2 linked regions of the Arabidopsis thaliana genome follow. The protein of the gene in region 1 interacts with the protein of each later gene in a pairwise test. Each region holds a gene or a part of one and is shown on either strand. Other genes may lie near its edges.

Region 1 (10,528 bases):
AGGTAACTTTGGTAATGGAAACATTTTGTTATATAATTTGAGAAATACTACTAGTATTCAATAATTCACCGGAAAGTGGAGAGAGCCAGCAGAGCAGATTCAATTATAAATTATGAAAAAATTAGAATGATTAGTTATGTGAGTATATATAATTTAAATATATTGAAAAAGAGAAGACGAGATCAATTCTCTCTAACAAACTTGTACCAACTGTTGCATTCTTATGTCACCAAAACGAAGACCTTATCTTCATTCTTACATTTCTTATATATTGTAATCAGTGTTGCTCGACAACTCACGAGGCGTGTAGGCGTGTGTTATTCTAAAAAACTGTAGTTATGGAAGAAAATCCAAAGCAGTCATTAGATAAAACTGGTTTTAGATTAAAACTAAGCTAAGTTATGGCCTATGGGTTAGTTGTGAAATAAAAATTGGGTTTGGTCTAATTTCGGCCAAAAAAACATTACCATAAGAGAAAAAGTCAAAAGAGAAGGGAATGTTTGACCTCTCGCCTCTCGTGCTCCTCTGTAAGGCGGCTTTGTCCTCTCTGCGACTGACTGACTTCTTCTGACGGCTCCGTCCACCGTCGTCTCTTCTTCCGTTACGACTTTTTCTTCCAATTAAATAACTTTAACCAAAGGAAAATTTGAAACGCCAGCTCCTCTCTCCGTGTAACAAACCAACAACTACAACCAACAAGAGCTTAGAGCTCTCTTTCTTTCTTTCTTCTTCCTTTTCTCTTTTCCATTCCTAAACAAAAGTCTTTCTTCCTCATCAATGGCTGTTACTCTTGATTCTCCTTCTCCGGCGAGAAAACGTCGCCCTTTGGTCGTCGGGTCATTCGAATCTCCGAAGCTTTCTTCAGATACCAAACTGACTCGGTCTCTGTTTCTGGCGTCTCATGAGATTTCTTCTATGCAGCCTCTCCCATTCATTCTCCGACGCAATTCTCTCTCCCTCATTCGCAAAGTGAAGATATTAGCTTCCGTCTTCGATGAGCTTCTTCTCCCTCGTTCCCAACTTGTCGTCTACTCTCAATCCGCTCATCTCTGCTTCGAAGAAATGCAAATCGTTATGCAACGTATCAAGTCTTTGATCGATGACTGTTCTCGTGTTAGCAAACTCTGGCTACTCTTGCAGATCGACATCGTTGCCTTCAACTTTCACGAGCTTGTCACCGATTTATCCACCGTTCTTGATATTTTACCGCTCCATGACTTTGACCTCAGCGACGACGCCCAAGATCTCATCTCTCTCCTTACAAAACAATGCTCCGATTCTGTTCAGTTCGTCGACGCCCGCGACGTTGCTCTCCGTCGTAAAGTCACCGATACAATCGCCGGGATCAAGCACCAGATCTCACCGGATCACTCTACTCTCATCAAGATTTTCAACGACCTTGGTTTATCCGATTCTGCTAGTTTGACCGACGAAATTCAGAGATTGGAAGACGAGATTCAGGATCAGATCGACGACAGATCCAAATCCGCAGCCGCCTCTCTTATCGGACTCGTCCGTTACTCTAAGTGCGTCTTATACGGTCCCTCCACGCCGGCTCCAGATTTCCGCCGCCACCAATCCTTATCTGACGCTAACATCCCCGCGGATTTCCGGTGTCCGATCACCCTCGAGCTGATGCGGGATCCGGTGGTGGTTGCCACCGGTCAAACATACGATAGAGAGTCCATCGATCTTTGGATCCAATCGGGGCATAACACGTGTCCGAAAACAGGTCAAGTCCTCAAACACACCAGCCTCGTACCTAACCGTGCCTTGAAGAACCTCATCGTTTTGTGGTGCCGCGATCAGAAGATACCGTTCGAATTATACGGTGACGGCGGCGGAGAACCTGCGCCGTGCAAGGAGGCGGTGGAGTTTACGAAGATGATGGTTTCGTTTCTCATCGAGAAGCTCTCCGTGGCAGATTCTAACGGTGTCGTGTTCGAGCTCCGGGCGCTCGCAAAGTCAGATACTGTGGCCCGAGCCTGCATAGCCGAGGCTGGAGCCATACCCAAGCTGGTTCGTTATCTAGCCACAGAGTGCCCGAGCCTTCAGATAAACGCCGTTACGACGATCCTAAACCTATCCATCCTGGAACAGAACAAAACGAGGATCATGGAAACTGACGGAGCTTTAAACGGCGTCATCGAGGTTCTTCGTTCGGGTGCCACGTGGGAGGCTAAGGCTAACGCAGCCGCGACATTGTTCAGTTTGGCGGGCGTCTCGGCATACAGAAGAAGACTCGGGAGAAAAGCACGTGTCGTAAGCGGATTGGTTGACTTGGCTAAGCAGGGCCCCACCAGCTCTAAGAGAGACGCGCTCGTGGCGATCCTAAACCTGGTGGCTGAGAGAGAGAACGTGGGGAGGTTCGTTGAGGCTGGGGTAATGGGAGCCGCAGGAGATGCATTCCAGGAGCTACCGGAGGAAGCGGTGGCTGTCGTGGAGGCGGTGGTCAGGAGGGGAGGACTCATGGCGGTTTCTGCCGCTTTCAGTTTGATTCGACTTTTGGGGGAGGTGATGAGAGAAGGAGCGGATACCACAAGGGAGAGTGCGGCGGCAACGCTGGTCACGATGTGTCGGAAAGGAGGGTCGGAGCTAGTGGCGGAGATGGCGGCTATTCCAGGGATAGAGAGGGTTATATGGGAGATGATAGGAGCTGGAACGGCCAGGGGAGGGAGGAAAGCGGCGTCATTGATGAGATATCTAAGACGGTGGGCCGCCGGAGATACCCATAACACGGCGGCGGAAACGCAGAGCATTGTAGTGCCAACGCCAAGTAGGATTTTTAGTCCAGTTTTATGATTTTTCATTTTTTTGTTTTCCCCTCTTCTTCTTGTGTAAAGTTTAAATGTTTTTTTTTTCTTTCCTGATGATTTGAAAAGAAATTGATTCTTTTACAAAGTATTAAAAGCTGCAATTGTAAATGTAAATTCGAGAAAAGAACGAGAGATTTTTTCCCTTTTACTGGATGAACTTTACACAGTGTTATGATGTTGTTTACTAATCTCTCATAACTCATAACTAGTGTTTTGACAGGAACTAATAAAAATCTTGAAAGCATATTAGAGTTATCATATGTGTGTGAATAAAGAGACAAAAGAATTGGCACAAAATTTCAACACAAAAGACAGAGCAAATCCACAAGAGATATACACACAAGCATGTTCCTAAAGGAGTGATGATGATTGGAAATGGAACTGATTGCAAATAGCAACAATCTTTCTTCCTAGAGAAGCAAACCTTTTTGTTTGTTGTTTTTTTACGTTTTGGATCTTTCGAAGCATTAAATAAAATATCTTCTTCTTCCTTTCCCTCTTTTTTAAACGGTTAATTTTATTACAGAACTATTACAAAACCAGAAAACACATTTGAGGAAAAGAGTGACGGTGTTGAGAATTTATGAAGCGGAGTGAGAGACAAGAAATATGTTCAAACCAAAGAGTGAGGTTGGAGTTTTTCATCGAAGCAGAGTAGTTGATGTTTAAGGAAAAGCTGTTCTGTAACTTTTTACAACCATCAGTTAACCATGGCAGAGAACAAATACATAGAGATGTAACGTGTTATTTTTTGTTTGTTTGTTTAAACGTGTATAAAATGACCATGAATAAGTTGGCAAATTTGTGTCTCTGTAATATTATTATTTTTGGTTTCAATTTGACAGATTCTTTAGTTGGAGTTTAAAATTGATGAAGAGGAAAATATAAGAGGTGCTATCGTTAAGTGAAACTATTGGGCCGAAAACATATAGGCCCATTTTAAAATTTTGGTTTGTTTTGCAAGAGATCCCAGATCTCGAAGCGTGCGATAATGTTTGAAAAAAGCAGGTTTCTCTCTTCTTTATTTGTTGTCAAACCCAAACACCTACTTACGGAAACTGTAACACAATAAAGTGAGTGACCACTTTCTTTTTTTACACTATCGATGATACAACTTTTTAATATCATCGTGGTGCACATTTTAAAAGGATTACAATGACCACGATTAAACTAGTAATTAGTACATATACAAACTAGTAATTACTCTATTATTTATTTCTTTGGTACGAACACTACTTGTGTATTACTATTACTAAAACATATAATAAAAGTGTCAGTGTCAAATGTCAATGTAATTTAATTTAGGGGAAAATGAAATGGCCAACATAATCTAACACAAAATCAATGAAAATGGAGAGAGCATCTCACTCACCTTATAATAACCTTTATATTTTCCACGTATGTGGGCCCCCTCACATAAACCTCTCTTTCCTTTATAAATTCTCCACTCTTCACACTCTCACTTTTGTTCATGTACCAAAGAAGTCCCCAACAAACACAAAATAATCAACAGAGAGAGTCAGAGAGATAATGGGTAATAACTATCGGTTTAAGCTATCGGAGTTAATCCCTAACGCTTGGTTTTACAAACTTAGAGACATGTCCAAATCCAAGAAGAAGAATCTTCAGAGCCAACCAAATAGCACCACCTCCAAGAAGAAACACCACGCAGTCCCTACTCCTACGTCCACAACGCCACTCAGTCCTAGGCCTCCTAGGCGCCCTTCTCACTCTTCCAAAGCGCCACCCTCCCATCCTCCCAGGAAGTCCTCCGGGAACCGTCTTCGTCACCGAGCCACCGTCGACTCTAAGTCTTCCACGACTTCCGGCGACAGCACTACCACAGAAACAGGTTCTTTCTCACCGGACTTTCGCTCGGATCAAGTTCTCCTCCCCGACGAGTCATTAACGGGCTCCTGGCACAGCCCTTGCAGCTCCAAGTTATCCAAAACCGCAACCTTTACGCCGCCGCCGGAACTCGAACTCCGGCCCATCATTACCAAAACGGCCGCCACCGCACGGAAAACGGCGGTGAATTCTCCGGCGGGGGTGAGACTTAGAATGCGGTCGCCGCGGATCTCGGTGAGCAGCAGCGCAAGAAGAAGCGGGTCGTCGGCTCGGCGGAGCAGGGCGGTGGTGAAGGCGTCGGTGGATCCGAAGAGAGACTTTAAGGAGTCGATGGAGGAGATGATCGCTGAGAACAAGATAAGAGCGACAAAGGATCTAGAGGAGCTTTTGGCTTGCTATCTCTGTCTCAATTCAGACGAATATCACGCTATTATCATCAATGTCTTCAAGCAAATCTGGCTTGATCTTAATCTTCCACCACCCCATTCCAAATAATTTTATTATTAAGAAAAAAACATCTTCTTATATAGTATTAATTACTCCTTAATAATTAATCGCTCTACTGAATAAAAATGTAAATATATATGATGTTGATGATGATGATTCTTGTACTAACTATATTTATATGTAATAATGGTCTAGAGAGAGCCTACAGTCTTGTACTTGCATAACGGCCATCGTTGATGATATCAAGTACAGGAATTTTCTATCCGGATTGGTACTCTTCTACGAATCTTACTTTGCACGGACAAGCAAGTGTTACTTTAAATCAAATTTTGAATGTGGACGACTATAAACCTACTTTTGCGTCATCAATCATACTATATATACAGCTCACTCTTCAAGTCTAAATTTTTTAAAAGAGATTTAAAAATGATTGGAAACTCATTCATTGTGATCATGAGTTAGCAAGTGTTCATGTTGACAACAATTACTCTGCATCACGTTATAGACTAAGACTAATAGTGAACGTTTTATATTTAGTGTATCCATTATATTAGACCTACGATGCCGACAACTCATTAAAACAGCATCTGCGCCTATTTTCAGACCTAACTTTGGATATGTGTGTACGTGTGCATTTCTCAATTTCACACACATCTATATTTATTTATTTATATGTGTAGTTAACTTTTTAAAAAATAAAAAAAAATTGACCACGACGTATTGTTTTGTATAATATTTATATGTATATGCATGCAGTGCATAACACATACAAACAGTGCGACAAGCAAGAAGAAAACAAAACATTTTTACTTTTAGGCATATAAGTGCCAAAGAAAACAAAAAATCCAATTGGCTGTTTTTTATTTATTTATATCAGTGATGGGTGACAAATGACGAGAATATATAGGAAAAGGTAACATATCGGAAAAAAAAAAATTATATGAATATATGTAGATATTATAGTAAAATAAAATAAAATTAGTGATGAATGGTTCTTACTGGCAAACTTTTGCTTCTGTGTTTTATGGTTGTATCGTTATCATGATATTGATGTCATTTTGTTTTATGTAAATCTTCCATGAGATTTTGGTTTAATAGAGTTAAACATCAATCTTAAAAGAAAATTGTGGAATTCTTAAAATATAAAAATAGGAACTGAAAAGGAATCTCACGCGACATTAAACTGACAAAGCATATTTTAGGTTTTATGGGTTTCCAAGGAAAGAAGCAGATTACAAAACGAAACTTGCTCGTTGATTTCTCACCGTTATAAAATAAATAAATAAAAACATATACTGTATTATCAAACTCCTCAATAATTTTTTTTGCCAAGATTACTCTTAGATCCTTAGGTATTGTTGTAATATCTTTACATTTCATTTTCAATGAAATTAACATTCATAGAAAAAAAAGAAAAAACTGTATATCATGAAGATTATATTCAATTATAAATGTTCACATTCAAACTAGACTAATAATTAGTAGATATGAGTAAATTTAGAATTATGTGGTAAGATTTCTATTGAAATACATTACAAAACATCAACCTATATATTGAATAATAATAATAATAAATCATATACGTGTGCGGAGTTAAGTACTGTTGCACAAAAGTGAATATTACACTGACTGAAGTTCAAAACAGGGACCAAAAAAGGTGAAGTAAAAAGTACCCAAAATCTATCTCTCTTTTTTTCGATACGATAATACACACTCATACAAAAAAAGGTTCAAAAGCTTTGTCGGGCACGCCGGCCATGGACTACAACGAATTTTTTGTAAAATTGTTAAGAAAAATTACAACAATACTTTTTTATATAAATAAAAATATAAGTACAACAATACTTTAAATTAAATTGTTTGATATCATCGCATGGTAGTAAGAGTACACAATAATAAGTATGAGACGTTTATACTCCCAGATTTTTAATTTAAGTTTCTTGCTTAAAACATGGACTTGTGATGTACGGGTACAAAGACAACAATTTACAAAGATCTGAGATACCTATTAGAAACAAATTATAAATGTATAATAATGTGTTTCTTTACTGGTGGTGGCCAGTGTCCGTGTGATGTACGGGTACCCCCACCACTATGAATTTTCAAAATCAGCATTTCTAAATATAATATAATATTGATATTTGGACTTGACTATACCTATATCAACATACAATTAATTTACTTGTTTCCCGGTAAATAGTATACTTCGAAAATAAAACCATTCCACAACGAAATGATGTGAAAACTCTCACTTGGACATAAATTATGATCCCTTTGTAAAAAATTAAGAAAGAGTATCTTGTTAGAACTGCGACGTATCATAGACGCGTTTTCTATTTGGAATGATATATAAAAGTTGTTTTTATTCGTTTGTCTCTCCTTACTTATCACTAGCACATTTTTAGATAAAGTTGTAAGTAATCCACAAGGCACAACTTTCTTTTTCCGTGAAATGTTTTTGTAAGTAGGGCCATTTCATAATTACACAAGATAGAGAAGTACATGTCAACGAATTTATTATGTTTTATTTTTAACATATAAAACAATTAGAATTGTAAAGTAAATAGCAACCAAGCCGAATGTTGCAAAAAAGATTGAGGAGTATATGACACTGTTAAAACGGAACTGTATAAACCTAACCGAGTGACAAAAATTATGTACATTACATATTATGATATGAAGTGAAAGAATCAAACCCAAAACTGAATTGGACAACGTTACCGTGGTTATTTGGATGTAAGCTACGTACGAACCATCTCTGCATTAAATAAATTGGAAGAAGAGTTATATATAGACTAGTTATGTAGAAATTATACGTGTTATAATAATTTAAGAAGTTGATCGAGATTTCGAAGAAGATGTAATAATGGCGAAGAATTGTCGGTGAGCCGCAAGTGGAGACTCGGTCAACGACCATTTAACTGAACTTGCCTTGCGCGCGATCCGACATTATCACCGGAGATTCTGCGTCTTGTGACCTTTGTCTCTCCGCCGTCCATATTTTCATTTTGAATCAAATAAAACAAGTACACGACACACCAAAAACAAAACTACTATTACATTGGGTTTTCGTTTTGCAAGAAAGTCACCGAGGTTCACAGTTTCTCAGTGAATTTAGTCGAGCGGTTTTTTTTGGCTATTGATGATGGTACATGGCGTGCTGAGTTATTAGTATACCTACAAAACATTTTCTTTTTTGAACAAAACAAGTTTGAAATACCATTTTTTAAATTGTTTTGTCTTCATATCGTTAATTGGGATGATTGAAATCAGTTACCGTTTGTATGACTTGGCAAACATTAAGCCGTACCTAGCAAACATTATGTGTGTCCTTTTCGGGTCCTAATAATCACTGCATGAATTATTATTCTTATACTACTCTTTATATATCAATTAAAGGATGAGGCCGAAGGCAAAATCGAGTTACCACTTTGCACGTGTTACGGACTTCGTGCATTTCACATCAGAACTTTTTTTTCTCCTCTTTATTCATCGCACAACAGTTTAACAAGTTTATGACATCTAATGCAAGAGTAACAGAAACAACAAAACAGAGGCCATTTTGTATTATGTTATTTATTATTTTACCTATCATCGCTGCGTCAATTGTCAAATCTCTTTATGGGATTTGACTCTTGCGTGAAATAAAACCACATTTTAGTATTTTTTTCGTTTTTATTTGGATAAAGACAATTTACACAACCCGTCTGTGCCCATCACTCTTATAGATTGTTTTTTTCCCCTTTTTAAGTTAGTCGAAGAATTATGTGCCAAAAATCAATACATCTTTTGTGTGGATATAAATCAGTTTATATTATAAGTCGGAAATTTCAAAGACTTAAAAATTTTTAGAAGGTCCGAGAACTCGCCATTGACCCAAAATTTATTTGGTCCTTAAAGTTGTTAAACTCTGAAATCAGTTTTACGCTCATATATTTCATTTTGTATATGCAAATTTAAATTGCATCTAAATTACTGAAATATTGTTATGCATGCAAACAACGTTGGTATTTGGTAGCCATAAATATTAGCTGTTTTGTATTTTTAGGTGTTATATACATATTACATAGCCTTAAAAGTAGTTATACTTAAGGATATTTTTCGCCACCGTATTGTTTAATAATATTAAAAATTCGTATAATGCACGTGTCTTTGGTACGTCCATGCAAAACTTGTAATGCGAGACGACGAAGACAGACGACACGAGGAACAACCAACGCTACATGAACTGGACCACTTTTTTAATTTAAAGTATAAAATCAATGTCGTTTGTTGTTTTGTGTTTCTGTTTCAACACCGTAAACTAAAAGTTTTAAAACATTTTCATACAGTAAATTAATGTTCTTCTTTAACAGAAACTAAGTTAATTTTTCCTTTTAACAGAAAACAGAATAAGTTACCCTTCTACCCAAAAAAATAATAACTTTTCAAAGAATTCCATTATGAGTTATAATTCCATTAAATTTAATATGATAATGGAACCCACATTATTGAATTAAGTTAAAAAACACGTATGAATAACTTTTTCTTACTATGAACACCCTCACTTTTATATAAAGACACCAAATCCTTCCATCGTAGATTCATTTCGGTCCGCTAGCATTCTCGTTCAATTAGTAGTCAACCAGTAACAAAAGTAATAAATCCGTTTTTACGTGAGACATTGCAGAGCTTAGAAATAAGAGAATATCATTATCTATGTTTAGAAGTTTCAATTCGAAAGTAAAATGAGGTAGTGTAATATGCAAGAGACATGAACTACTCATTCACTAATAACCAAATAATCTCGAGGATAACCATGAAAATTAACACCAAAATCATTACAATTGTAATTTACGTATTTAGTTTTCATAGCAAATTTTGAAACTTGTGATTTTGAAAATTTTATGTTTGGAATGACATTTTGGTACATTATATTGGATAACTATTTGTCTTTTGTAGGTGTTTTTAAGAACAGATACATATACAAAGATTTTGTTGTTTATTTTCTGGTTCAACCAACACCTTTAGAATATATAAAATCATTAGTGGAATTTTTTGCTGCCTAGTTATTCAATCATTAGTTGAACAACCGGCCCATATCTCTCCGCATTAAGCAAGATTTTATAAAGCAAATGTGCCATTTAATTCTATACTAAAGCATTCGGATTACCATCGAATGATTATTTTATACAGCAGTGGAATTCACATTTTTCTTTTCTTTCTGTAATTTCGATTAACAGTTATATACGTATATATAGTGCCATCACCACCTCATAATTTTATATCGTTAAACAAAAAATAATTTACACGTTTTCACCTGATAATTACTTAACGGTTTAAAAATGTATAAATAGTAACATATACTATTATCAACAATAGTTAGCTAGGAAAATAATGGCGTAAAGACCAAGTGGATGATATATCTTTGTTTTAAC
Region 2 (13,005 bases), on another chromosome or scaffold:
CAAACATGAACGCACGTCCATTACTTACTTGTTCATACTCTTCTTTCATAGTGTTTCTCACGTTGAAACCAATTTTTTCGCCTTTCATTTCAGGGAAATTTTTTTAAGCCATTGTATTCATTATATATATGAGATCTTATGCATTAGTAAGACTTGGCTTTACAGAGAGATAATAAGAGTAGGCGCCCTCAAGAAAACAGAGTAAAAATGGATCAAAATTTGTATCGCAAGTGCCTGGTTATTTTATCGATGATGGCAATGATCGGCACATCAATGGCTACATATGCCGGGACCCCATGGCGTACAGCCTCAGCCACTTTTTACGGTGACGACACCGGCAGCGCAACTATGGGTAAAGTCCATATACTTCTACATTGTATTGTATGTAGAAGTAGAACACAAACTATATATGACTCGATTCCATATTATTTGAAACGATTGTTTGTTTGCATTTCTATGTTTTAATGTACTAATCATATATCATAACATAAAAATGCAAACAAGATGAAACAATTATGGCTTATTTATAAATACATGAATCTTTAATTTCGAAGATCATTAAAATGTACTGACAATTTTTAACATGACCATGTATATCGATCAGGTGGGGCTTGTGGCTATGGTAACATGTATGACAGCGGCTACGGGGTAGCCACGACTGCGCTGAGCACAGCCCTGTTCAACGAGGGTTATGCATGCGGTCAATGTTTCCAGTTAAAGTGTGTGTCGTCGCCTAACTGCTACTACGGGTCACCAGCCACCGTGGTAACTGCAACCAACATATGTCCACCAAATTATGGCCAAGCATCCAACAATGGTGGATGGTGTAATCCGCCACGAGTCCATTTTGATTTGACTAAACCAGCTTTTATGAAGATCGCTAACTGGAAGGCTGGTATCATCCCCGTCTCATATCGCAGGTAATATTCACATTTCATTAGAGCATTACAATTATAGAGGTAGATTGAAAACGTAAAGAAATGGTTTATCTTAACCATAGTGAAATTATATATATTTATAGTCAAATATTTTGAATGATATCTTGTTTGAATGCACCATTTGCAAATGCTAAAATATGATTATGTCGATATATATATGCAGAGTGGCATGTAAGAAGATCGGAGGAATAAGGTTCAAATTTGAAGGAAATGGATATTGGCTACTTGTGTACGTGATGAACGTAGGTGGTCCAGGTGACATCAAGACCATGGCCGTTAAAGGTAGCCGCACAGGGTGGATCAACATGAGCCATAACTGGGGAGCTTCGTACCAAGCCTTTTCTTCTCTCTACGGTCAGTCTCTCTCGTTCCGGCTCACCTCTTACACCACTCGTCAGACCATTTACGCTTATAATGCTGCTCCGGCAAGCTGGAGCGCGGGCAAGACCTACCAGAGCAAGGCTAATTTTAACTAATTTAGGTCATATTCAATTCCGAGAAACCGGTTTATTTGAATATACGGTTTTGCCATTTGTTGTTGAGTCCGATCGATCGAGAGGTTGATCCTTTTTTTCTAATGAATAACTCCCTTTGGTTATATGGTAGTCATTAATTCTTGTATATCCATCATTGGGTTGAGGAAAATTTGTTGATTTTTATGTGTGTTTAAAATTTTTGAATTATCTTCTCATTCATATATTAGCATCAAAATGATTGATGGGATCATTGGTACTTTTTTTCTTATCAGAAAATGACTTTTCTAATTCAAGAGTTATCAATAAATATGACATAACGATTAGACGATATGATCATGATTCGCCAATGTATGATACTCACTTCAGTTTAATATAAAGATCGTTTGACAAATTTTGATGCGAATTAAGAGAGTTTGTATACAATAATAGTACATTCTTAGAAAATAATTGCTGTTTTATAATTCTGATCTATTTAATACTTAAAATTAAATTTGACTAGAGTAAAAATGAAAAATTTGTAAAAGAACGTTATACACAAACATTGAAACGTCAGTTATTTAAAAAATAGAAAATTATATATTCTATAAAACGTACACTTTACTCAAAACAATCTCACGCCGCCTACAGTTTCATACCCCAAGAAATCATATGGAGTAGCATAAAAACTATATACATATATACATAAATATATCTATCAAATAAAAGCAAACCTGTCCCTTCAATCCAAAGCCTTCACCAAGCTCTAAAAAGAAAAGAGAAACTCATTTCTCATGATCGACTCTTCCTCTACACTTCTTCATCGCATCTTCTCATCACCTCAACATTCAAACGTGAACAATTACTCCACCAATATCGAAAATGGTAACACTAACACTCTATCCTCCCTCTATTCAACTAATAATAATCGTATTATTCCTCTTCCTTCCCTCTCATCTAGAGGGTTCGACTTCTACTACTACTACTCAAGAAGCTCTCAATGAATCCTCAAGGCTTCTTGATCTCATTCTAAGAGATTACACTCTCAACTTCTTCAAGAACCAACATTATTCTATCAAGACCGGTGTTATTCGGCGTGTTCATCTCCCGTCTGACTACTCCGGCATAAAACTTGACGCCGTTAGGTTCCGGTGTGGGAGTCTCCGACGATACGGAGCAAAAATCGAAGAATTCAATATTGGCGTTGGAGCTATTCTTGAGCCGTGTGGTGAACGTCTTTTGGTTGTGAGACAAAGCTTGGGATCAAAGTGGTCCGATATATATTACAAAAACTATGATCTCTCCGGTTATAGACTTGTGTCTCCGGTTCTAGGGCTCTTAGCTTATAACGCATTAAACGATGTTGTTTTAGGGAATAACGTGAGTAGCTCTTATCAGATAAGTCTCCTCCTAGCCCGTACTAAAGATCCATCCAACGTTGATTTTGGGAACGTTTCTGGACCGTCGGTGGTAGAGAGAACGTTCTTGAATAAGCCAATGTGCGCTACTTTTGAACTTGATGGAAAAGTAACGCTTGCCGCCGAAGTGAAGCCGTTTGTGTGCGCCGTTAAAACCAATGGACATTTTGGTTTAGTGGTGACGGATGATCCAAAATCGAATGGTGGAGGAGAAAAGGAGATGAAGAAGGAGAAGATCGGACGGTGGAGGAAGGTTGTTGGAGGGCTTGTTGGGTCTGTGACGGTGGGGGTGGTGCTTTTAGGGCTGGTGGTGGCGGCTGCTGTAGTGACGGCAAAGAAAAGGAGAAGAAGGGCAAAAAGGGAAGAAATGGAGAGAAAAGCTTATGAAGAAGAAGCTTTTAGAGTAGTGTCAATGGTGGGGCATTCTAGGGCTTTCGTTGCTTCTGCTACAAGGACTTCTCCAGGTTTCATGGAATATGAGTTTGTTCCTAATTAATTAATTATATTTACGTGTGATTCCGTTTTTGTGGATTGTTTTCTTTTTTTTTTCTTTTGTAAAAACGGTTTTAATTTATGTTAAAATGCATGTTGTTGGGGGTTTTGGGACATATATATATATTTCGTTGGTGACAAGTAAGGTACGTATGGTGATGATTTTTTCTTTCTTTCACGGTGATGAATTTACAAGGTAACACCGCTAGTGGCCTAGTAGTAAGTAGTAACTATTAAAGAAAATCAAATGAGCAAAGTTACATTCAAAGTCATTGATAAACAATAAAACATGGTCATTTTTTACACCAAAAAAAACAACATGATCGTTGCCTACACGTTAATTAACGAGGCATCAAGAATTATAATTTGATGAAATATGCCGTCTGGCGTCTTCATAAGAATACAATATGTTTGATGAAAATCTACCTCTAATCAAATGGTAGTTTTTTTTTTTTTTTGAGGAGTCACATAGCTAGGAAACGTTTTATGCTAGTAATATCACACACGGAAACAATTACGAACCCATGTGTACAAGTGTTTAGGCTTTGAGACCTTAATGAAGTGCCCAATGAGAATTATTTTTAGGTCCACCAAACTCACAATATTATATGGCCCGTACATTAAATCACTAAAACTTAGTATCGTGTCACTAATAGTATCTCATTGTTCTCTGATTAATGGCCGCATTATTATAAGTTTTTTTTTGTGTCAAAAGCATTATTATAAGTTGAGAAGTCGTTTTCATAGGACCACAAATTGTTTCAGATGTGAGATGTCTTAAATCTTAGGCTTAAGAGAACGACAATTCTGTCCCTCTTTTCTTTGTTCGACCAACTCTGTCTTTGTCCCTCTTTATTTTGTTTCTTTCATTTTTCTATACGAACGAATATTTTTGATGTCATTGCGTAAAACAAAAGGGAATTTGTACATAACTACATAAAAAGGGAGAAATGGAAAGTAGTTTTTCCATATTGGTGAAGGCGTGCATTATTCTCTTTTTCATTTAATAATATGCAAAATCCTCTTTTAATTTGTATTTTTTATTTTTGTTTATAGAATATATTATGTGCTATTATTTTAGTTTTTTTTGTGTCATGTATTATTGGCATTATTAAAAATATTTGATCTAATCCTATTACGATATAAACTACATGCAACATATGCAATTACAACGACCAAGGATTCCATTGTTATGATGAAATATTATTTTAGTTTTTGTAATTAATTGCAGTTTTTTTTTTGCAAAAACTTAAGACTACTTGGATGGCTATTGGCTCCAATATGCCAAGCCGGAGGAAAACCAGAAGATTTAAGAATATATTTTTTTAAACGATGAAGTGGAAAAATAATTTTTTTAACGTCCAACATGTATGTTCAGAAGATTTGTAATTCTGAACGGAACTATTACATGACGTTACAAAAAACCATGCCACAAGAGTATCCGGACTTAACAACGTTTCACAACACATCAATTTTTTTTTTTTCAGTTTTATGGATATTTCTGAAATTCTAGCTAAAAACTATTAGTATATATTAAAGTTCATATATCAAACTATTGTTTGTGTGCTATATTAACTTCATATCAAACTAGGAAAAATATGAAAGCATTTTTCTATCTATCAAATAATACTGCAATTAAATTATCAGAGTGTTACTGTTTTAAGGTTATATGACTAAGAAATGGTGCATCAAAGCTGTATCACATTTTGTCCAAAAAAATTTAACTGTATCACGTAATTGAGTATTTAATATTTTAAAAGAATAACTAATTATATTTGTTCTTTACCAAAAGAAGAAAACAAATATACTATATTTCTATACTATTAAATAGTATTATCAATTAGGTGTTAATACTATTTGTTAAGTGGGCGTTAGAGGATTAGGTGTGTCTACCGGTCCTGTCGTTAAAGGTGGGAAGATATTTTATTTTCCTCATTCTTTTTCAAAATTTCAACTAATTTTTAAGTTCAAGTTGTTGATCACTTATTAGGTCTTAAATCATTGTCACGAGAAGGAAAATAAAAGTGTTTTTAATTTTTATTTTAAGTTTACATTTTATATACATACATATACACGTATTTATGATTTTTGTAAAGCACGTTGTTAACGTGCACTTTTTTCATAACTTTACGTCAAGGTATATATCAGCATATTGTGGAATCAAACATATATATAGTAGCAGTTTTCTAGACTAAAGTAATTCAGATTAATTGTAAAGATAACAATCACCGTATAAAACAATCAACGTCCGTGTGTTTGTATTCACATATCTGATGAAAATTAGTAATTCTAGTTTTCAGTCTTTCGATTAACAATACAAAAATAATACTTTCAATATAATTTGATCTATGTAAAAATAATATATGGTATGGCCGGACCAGACCCGTGTATAACAAACATTGTTTTAAATGTATTTTGTATACAAATAAGACAAAATAATCTATAAACAAATAATGTATATTTTTAGAAAAGAATGGAGTGAAAAACAATTAAAGGGGAAAGAAATCAGGACAGCTTTATATAGGTTGATTTCATCTGACAATTCTCTCTCTCTCTCTTTTTCTAATCATACGAACACAATCTGCTTCAAGAATTAGGGTTTTGATCAGACACAAAAAGTATCTCTCTCCGGTCTTGTGTCAAGGTTATGCAAGAAGCGGCACTAGGTATGATGGGAGCCACCGTAGGCGGAGACGGAGACACCGCGGTCGTGGCGGAGCAGAATAGACAGTTGAAAGGTGAGATAGCGACACATCCGATGTATGAGCAATTATTAGCCGCACACGTGGCGTGTTTAAGAGTAGCTACTCCAATAGATCAACTTCCGATCATTGAAGCTCAGCTTTCTCAATCTCATCATCTTCTCCGTTCTTACGCTTCCACGGCCGTTGGATACCATCATGATCGTCACGAGCTCGATAATTTCTTGGTACGTTTGAATATAAATTTATTAGTTATATTTTAAAAAATAATCTTGTTTGGTTAAATTACTTACAAGTTCTGTTTCTATCTTTTTTCATTTGAAAGTTTTTTTTTGATGGTTTCTAGTGGACTAACTTTGAATGAAGTTATGATTACTAACCAATCTCTGTTGGGAAATTATGTTTCAAACAAATTATGTTTTTTTCAATGATTTTCGTGTTTTACTTTTTACAAGATCGTTGGGAGTTTTATCGATCGAAGATGTAAACCTTTTGTCAATATATCAACAATTTCTATAAATTTTATAATTACTAATTCCTCTTGTGGGAAGTTATACTTCAAACAAATTATGTTTTTTTCCAATGATTTAAGTTATTGGTATTTTTTTACCTGATTTTTGTGAAGAAGTGGTTTTGTTCAACTTTCATGGAAATTTATGTATCTTCACACGAATGTTCAAATGTATAATACACACACATAGATGTAGATATGGTTTTTTGTATAGTTAGGTGCTAAATTTCACATAGAGTGAGTCAATGTTAAATGTCATTTTGTAATTAAATTGAAATTCTATTTAAACTTTGAATATTATCATGTTAGTTACGATTGATTTTCTACTCCGACCTAAAATTTGCAATTGCATTAAAGTTGGAATTGATATTGCAACTATAATTTTGGAATTAGCTTGTGAAATGTTCCAAAAAAATTCGGTTTTATTTATATTTATTTAAGTTAGGTAGAAAATAGGACTATATAATGATCTAACCGCTCAAAACACACCACACCAGAAGCACATATTTATATGTGTGTATGCATATATGTGGAAAATGTTTACACATTGAATAATTATATGAAATGTGAGAGGATATATAAAACATTTAACAATTATAATTAATTGGAAACAGGCACAATATGTAATGGTGTTGTGTAGCTTCAAAGAACAGCTGCAACAGCACGTGAGGGTTCATGCCGTCGAAGCTGTTATGGCTTGCCGTGAAATTGAGAACAACCTTCATTCTCTTACAGGTTCTTTTCTTTTCCACTTTTTTAATGGTATTTTTTATAACCCAATTAAAAAACATAACTTCATGATAATTACATGTTATTATATATACCACATAGCTATAGAATCAGAAAGTACTTAAGATATATATAATTAAAATTCCTGTTAAAAATTAGCGATAGTTAAAACAAATAATAGAGTTAGGTATATCTAAAGGTTCTTGCTGATCATACCAGATATGAACAACTAGTAAACATATTAAATGTAAGGTGTTGGAAGATGATCAGGAAGAGTATATTATATGCCCACACAATAAGAAATAGAGATTTTATTTGTGCTTATATAGTTATATTATATGATTAGTCTAAAGATGAAATTTCTTAATTATACGAAATTATTAAAAATATTTATTTTTGCACTGATGACCACGTAAAGCGTGGGATGTATTGATTAGGATTATTGTATGCGTAAGGGCATATCAGGCTTGAGCCTAAGTTTGGGCTTGGGCTTGACGTCTAAATCTTGTAGTTTGACTGTTGGAGTAACATTTCGTTTAAAACGTTCTGTATTCTTGTAGGAGCAACTTTAGGAGAAGGGTCGGGTGCGACTATGTCGGAGGATGAGGATGATCTTCCGATGGATTTCTCGTCAGATAATTCCGGCGTTGATTTTAGCGGCGGCCACGATATGACGGGATTTGGTCCGTTGCTACCGACTGAATCGGAAAGATCCCTTATGGAAAGAGTCAGACAAGAACTCAAACTAGAACTCAAACAGGTATAATTAACTAATATGTTATGATTCACAATAGTAATACAGTTATTTTACTATTTATTTTCTTGTTATGACGTTTGTTTATTTTTCGGATAAGGGTTTTAAATCGAGAATCGAAGATGTAAGAGAAGAGATAATGAGGAAGAGAAGGGCTGGGAAATTGCCAGGAGACACAACTACTGTCTTGAAAAATTGGTGGCAACAACATTGCAAATGGCCTTACCCTACGGTGAGTACTCTCTATATTTTACGAACAACAAATATAGTTTCCGTCTAATTGTTTGTTTGGGTTTACGTTTTCATGAAATAATATGATAATCATTATAACATGAAACAACAAATGAAGATAGATATGTAAATGCAAAGAAACAATCAAGACCCATTTTGGTTACACTCAAAGTCACAACATGCATTTTTTTTCTATTCTTCAAACATACTGAATTTGTTACTAATACTCAAAAACACTATACATCTCTCTCCCGTTCAATATTTGGCACAAGCCAAAAAGGTGGACTACAGTCTAAAGTTGCATGCTATAGTGGAAAAGAAATAGCCTTTGACGCTATCAGATCTGCACATGCATTGGCCTCTCTTCGTTGAAACTGAAACTGATTGTTTTTGTTTTCTTTCCTAAAATGTCATTAACAACAACAAATTTATAATGTAAAAAAATATGTGTCTTGAACAGGAAGATGACAAGGCAAAATTGGTGGAGGAGACAGGATTGCAGTTGAAGCAAATCAACAATTGGTTCATTAACCAACGCAAGAGGAATTGGCACAACAACTCTCACTCCCTCACTTCCTTGAAGTCCAAGCGCAAACACTAATCTCTTCTTACTATATTAGTTACTACCTCTACATATATTCATACTAATTACACTGCTAAGACATGCATGATACATACGTAATTCATGTTACTGATAATAACGAGGTGTGATCATTAATATCATGTACTTACTTAGCTTATTAGATCCACCGACTACTATATGATTTGTGCGTTGCGTGATTACTGGTTGTTACTAGATTGTAATTCATTTTGTTTGTATTGTGCATTCAAATTTATCTTTTTGGTAAGAACACTGATTTTGTAACGTGTTTTCCGTGGATGACTAGACCATCATTTGGAAATATAAAGTAATGATGCCGACAAAAAAGGCAGTGTTTTATAAAATATAAGCCATATCATAATATCTTTGGACCGATCAATGAAAGAAATCGTCCATAAAAATGGATTAGTTTAATTCCAGTTTAGATTATTGGTATTCTCAAAAACTAATTAACGTATAGTTTTCTAGTTCTTTATTTGATACCAAGATTTGTGTAACTTAATATTTTCAAACGAGTTTACAAACACAACTAGACCGAGAAATAGATATATGATGTATTCATTAAAAAAGAAAAAATAGCTCTTGAGATTGAGAACTTGGGATCTTACTATCTTAGAAAAGTCACCACATGCCGCCATCATTTGTCCACTACGATTCAGACAGAAGATCCGATCTGTTTATATATATATATATAAAAGTAAAGACATTACTTTATGCCTTATGGTAACCCCCGATTACTATAACATTAAACTACTAATTAATTTGACAAAAGAAGTTGGACTGACTGCTTAATAAATGAATGTTAGTGACATACGTATATATTTTCGATAACGTGTATGGTATTTAAGGGCAGGGGGATTTGTACATTTGGAGTTTTATATGCTTAATATATCAAATGTTGTATAGATCCAGATCTTTGGTTTAAACCTCATTAGTTTCGATGTCAAATCAATTACAATATATATAGAAACTTTGCAATTACAATATTTAGTACCAAAAATCGGTGGAATTATGTACATATGAATATGATATAAATCACTACATTAATTTGTAATTGAGATGTATCTGTATATTTATTGAAATGATACTATGTTTAAAGGGTTACCGATTCGTTAACGGGTTCTTTTGCTAAGTTAGCTCTTTGATCTCATAAGATTCGGATGCTTAATATAATATACGCATTTATAGTCGATAATTGTGAATTGTAAATTCAAAACAGTAACGTGTTTTAAGTGTTTTTTTCTTTTTCTTCGAACTTTTTAATTTTCACTATTAAAAAATAGTATGAGTAGTAGTTGACCAGAAAAAGGGTGGTAAAAAGAAAAAAAAGAGATTCTTTAATTAAAATTGCAACGAATAATACATATTTTAAATTCAGACACCCAATGAAGTGGAATCTCCTTTGTGTTTAACTAATAATTTCTCACGCCACCGCTTTCACAGATCTCTGTCTAAAATTCAGACAACAATAAACTATTTTAAACACACAAAACCACTACGAAACACAATAATTCATGTTTAGGGTGATCTGTCACATATTATATTCATATATTGAAATAATTTTTTGTTATTCCTACTAACACATTTTTTTCAATGACATTTCCACGAAATAAAATTTATAAAGTCTTCTTATATTTACTGAATAAAAGTTCTACATTATGCTATTAAAAGTGTATAAAGTAACAACAAATTTATACATAATAACAAGTTTTCTTATAAAAATATTAATAGCATTTTTTTTTATCCATAGAACTATTTTTATCATATAATTTTAAAAACGGGATAACTTGTTTATTTTATGTTAAATTTAAGTTAACTAGTTGTATAAGTACTAATGAAAACATTTTCTTAAATTCAATAACAAAAATTTATCACTACTCCAATTATCTACACATGTTTTGCTTAATTTTTGGTAATGTCACCTAAATTTAACAATTTCCTAAAATATTCATGAAAAAAAACTCATGGGTCACAAATCTCAAATAAGAAACGATGGGTGGTCAAAAGAAAAAAACTAAAAAGATTATTGCTTCCCCGAGAAATTGGGATAAAAAGAAGCAACACCGATCACAACGTCTCCCTATACCATCTCCTTCAGATCCACACACTCTCTCTTATATCTCTCCGGCGAAAACTTTCCGATCACCGACAAAAAAAAAAAATGGTTGCAGACGCAAACGGTTCATCATCAAGCTCATTTAACTTCCTAATCTACGGTAAAACCGGATGGATCGGTGGTTTACTCGGTAAACTCTGCGAAGCTCAAGGAATCACTTACACTTACGGCTCCGGTCGTCTTCAAGATCGTCAATCGATCGTCGCCGACATCGAATCCGTGAAACCTAGCCACGTGTTCAACGCTGCTGGAGTCACCGGTCGTCCTAATGTTGATTGGTGCGAATCTCACAAAGTTGAGACGATTCGTACTAATGTCGCCGGAACCCTAACTCTCGCTGACATTTGCAGAGAGAAAGGACTTGTTCTGATCAATTACGCTACGGGTTGTATATTTGAGTATGATTCGGGTCATCCTCTCGGGTCGGGTATTGGATTCAAGGAGGAGGATACTCCTAATTTCACCGGATCTTTCTACTCTAAAACCAAAGCTATGGTGAGTAACTTTTTACATTTTCAATCCTTTTATTTATGAATAACTTCAGATTTGATCTGTATCTTTAGTTTCTTCTTTGAGTAAACCCCAAAATCTAAGATTTTTTAGTAAATTAAGTTCTGATTTGTGTGAATTGTTGAGGTTTTGACTTTTGAATGTAAGATTAGCTCTCAAATTGTTTCAGATGATTGTAGATTAGACTTGTGAGAGCTTCGTTAATTTACATTTTGACCCCTTTAGTTACTTAGGACATTATTCAGATTTGACCTGTTGCTAATTTGGTTTCAATACTTGTGATTGCTTAGGTCTTAGATGTTAAATTAGCAATAAAAATGTTCCAGATGAAATACTTTGACCAGAACTTATTGATTCATATAATCATTATCATGATAAGCTCGTGTATTGACTGTTGGAATCTGGTTTTGATCTTGGTGAATCATTCAGGTGGAGGAGCTGCTCAAGAACTATGAAAATGTATGCACGCTAAGAGTGCGAATGCCGATTTCATCGGATCTAACAAACCCGAGAAACTTCATCACGAAGATTGCTCGGTATGAGAAAGTTGTGGACATCCCAAACTCGATGACAATCCTCGATGAGCTTCTCCCGATATCAATCGAAATGGCGAAGAGGAACTTAACCGGGATCTACAATTTCACTAACCCGGGTGTTGTGAGCCACAACGAGATCTTGGAGATGTACAGAGACTACATTGACCCGAGTTTTACTTGGAAGAACTTCACATTGGAGGAACAAGCTAAAGTGATTGTGGCGCCAAGGAGTAACAATGAGCTTGATGCAACTAAGTTGAAGACTGAGTTCCCTGAGTTGATGTCTATCAAAGAGTCTCTGATCAAGTTCGTGTTTGAGCCCAACAAGAAGACTGAAGTTAAAGCTTGAAATGTGGTTTTGTAAGGTAAACGGTTCTTAACCCCAAAAAAACAAATCAAATGAAAGACAAAAAAAGTTTGGGTTTTTAAAAGAAGTATCTTTTTTTTTTTTGGGTTTATGGGCTGAAAAAATTGTTGTGTTTTTTGTATTTTATTTTTTTGTTTTTCTTTTTCCCAATGTTGTTGTATTGTTAAAATAAACTTTTGTTTCATTACAAATAAGAAATGTACTATTTTGCATTATTTACTCTTGTTAATCAAACTATCTTTCATCCAGAGGATCAGAAAGATCTTAGCCTTGGCCTAAAATATTACATTTGAAATCTGGATCGGAACGTAAATATGATAAACAAATGAAACATTGCCAGAGTTTCCAGCATATGCTGCATTGTTCAGCTAGCGTTTTTGGTAAACAGATGAATGTCACTACTCACTTCCTCAAACTTCAGTTTCCATTGGTCCCGGATCCAGTTTGAAACACCAAAATTGACGATCATTCCATTATTAAGATCAATTGATTTAGTTGGAATCTCCTTGAAATACTACTTTTCTTTGGATTTTGCAACACACTTTGCATCGTTATTGTAAGAGTGATGAAATTCACCTTTCAAAGCCGAATAACAGAGTATGTGTTTGATATGATCATGCATGAATGTGACTACACCATGTCATTTTT

Evidence for each region.
Region 2: the proteins of OFP1 (region 1) and KNAT7 interact in a two-hybrid assay, tested with the Arabidopsis thaliana proteins (2 studies listed by BioGRID, with this or other methods).

What each region holds. Positions count from the first base shown.
Region 1 is NC_003076.8:320,206-330,733, forward strand, and holds OFP1 (ovate family protein 1), read left to right. Parts: upstream 1-4,222; 5' UTR 4,223-4,346; coding exon 4,347-5,159; 3' UTR 5,160-5,473; downstream 5,474-10,528. Other genes in the region: SAUR21 (ARM repeat superfamily protein), read left to right, coding at 778-2,802.
Region 2 is NC_003070.9:23,331,521-23,344,525, forward strand, and holds KNAT7 (homeobox knotted-like protein), read left to right. Parts: upstream 1-5,646; 5' UTR 5,647-5,947; coding exon 5,948-6,229; intron 6,230-7,127; coding exon 7,128-7,248; intron 7,249-7,802; coding exon 7,803-8,002; intron 8,003-8,096; coding exon 8,097-8,228; intron 8,229-8,687; coding exon 8,688-8,828; 3' UTR 8,829-9,172; downstream 9,173-13,005. Other genes in the region: AT1G62978 (uncharacterized protein), read right to left, coding at 1-88; EXPA18 (expansin A18), read left to right, coding at 208-352, 605-920, 1,102-1,414; AT1G62981 (transmembrane protein, putative (DUF1191)), read left to right, coding at 2,273-3,304; NRS/ER (nucleotide-rhamnose synthase/epimerase-reductase), read left to right, coding at 10,990-11,439, 11,884-12,339. UniProt on the Arabidopsis thaliana protein: May be involved in secondary cell wall biosynthesis.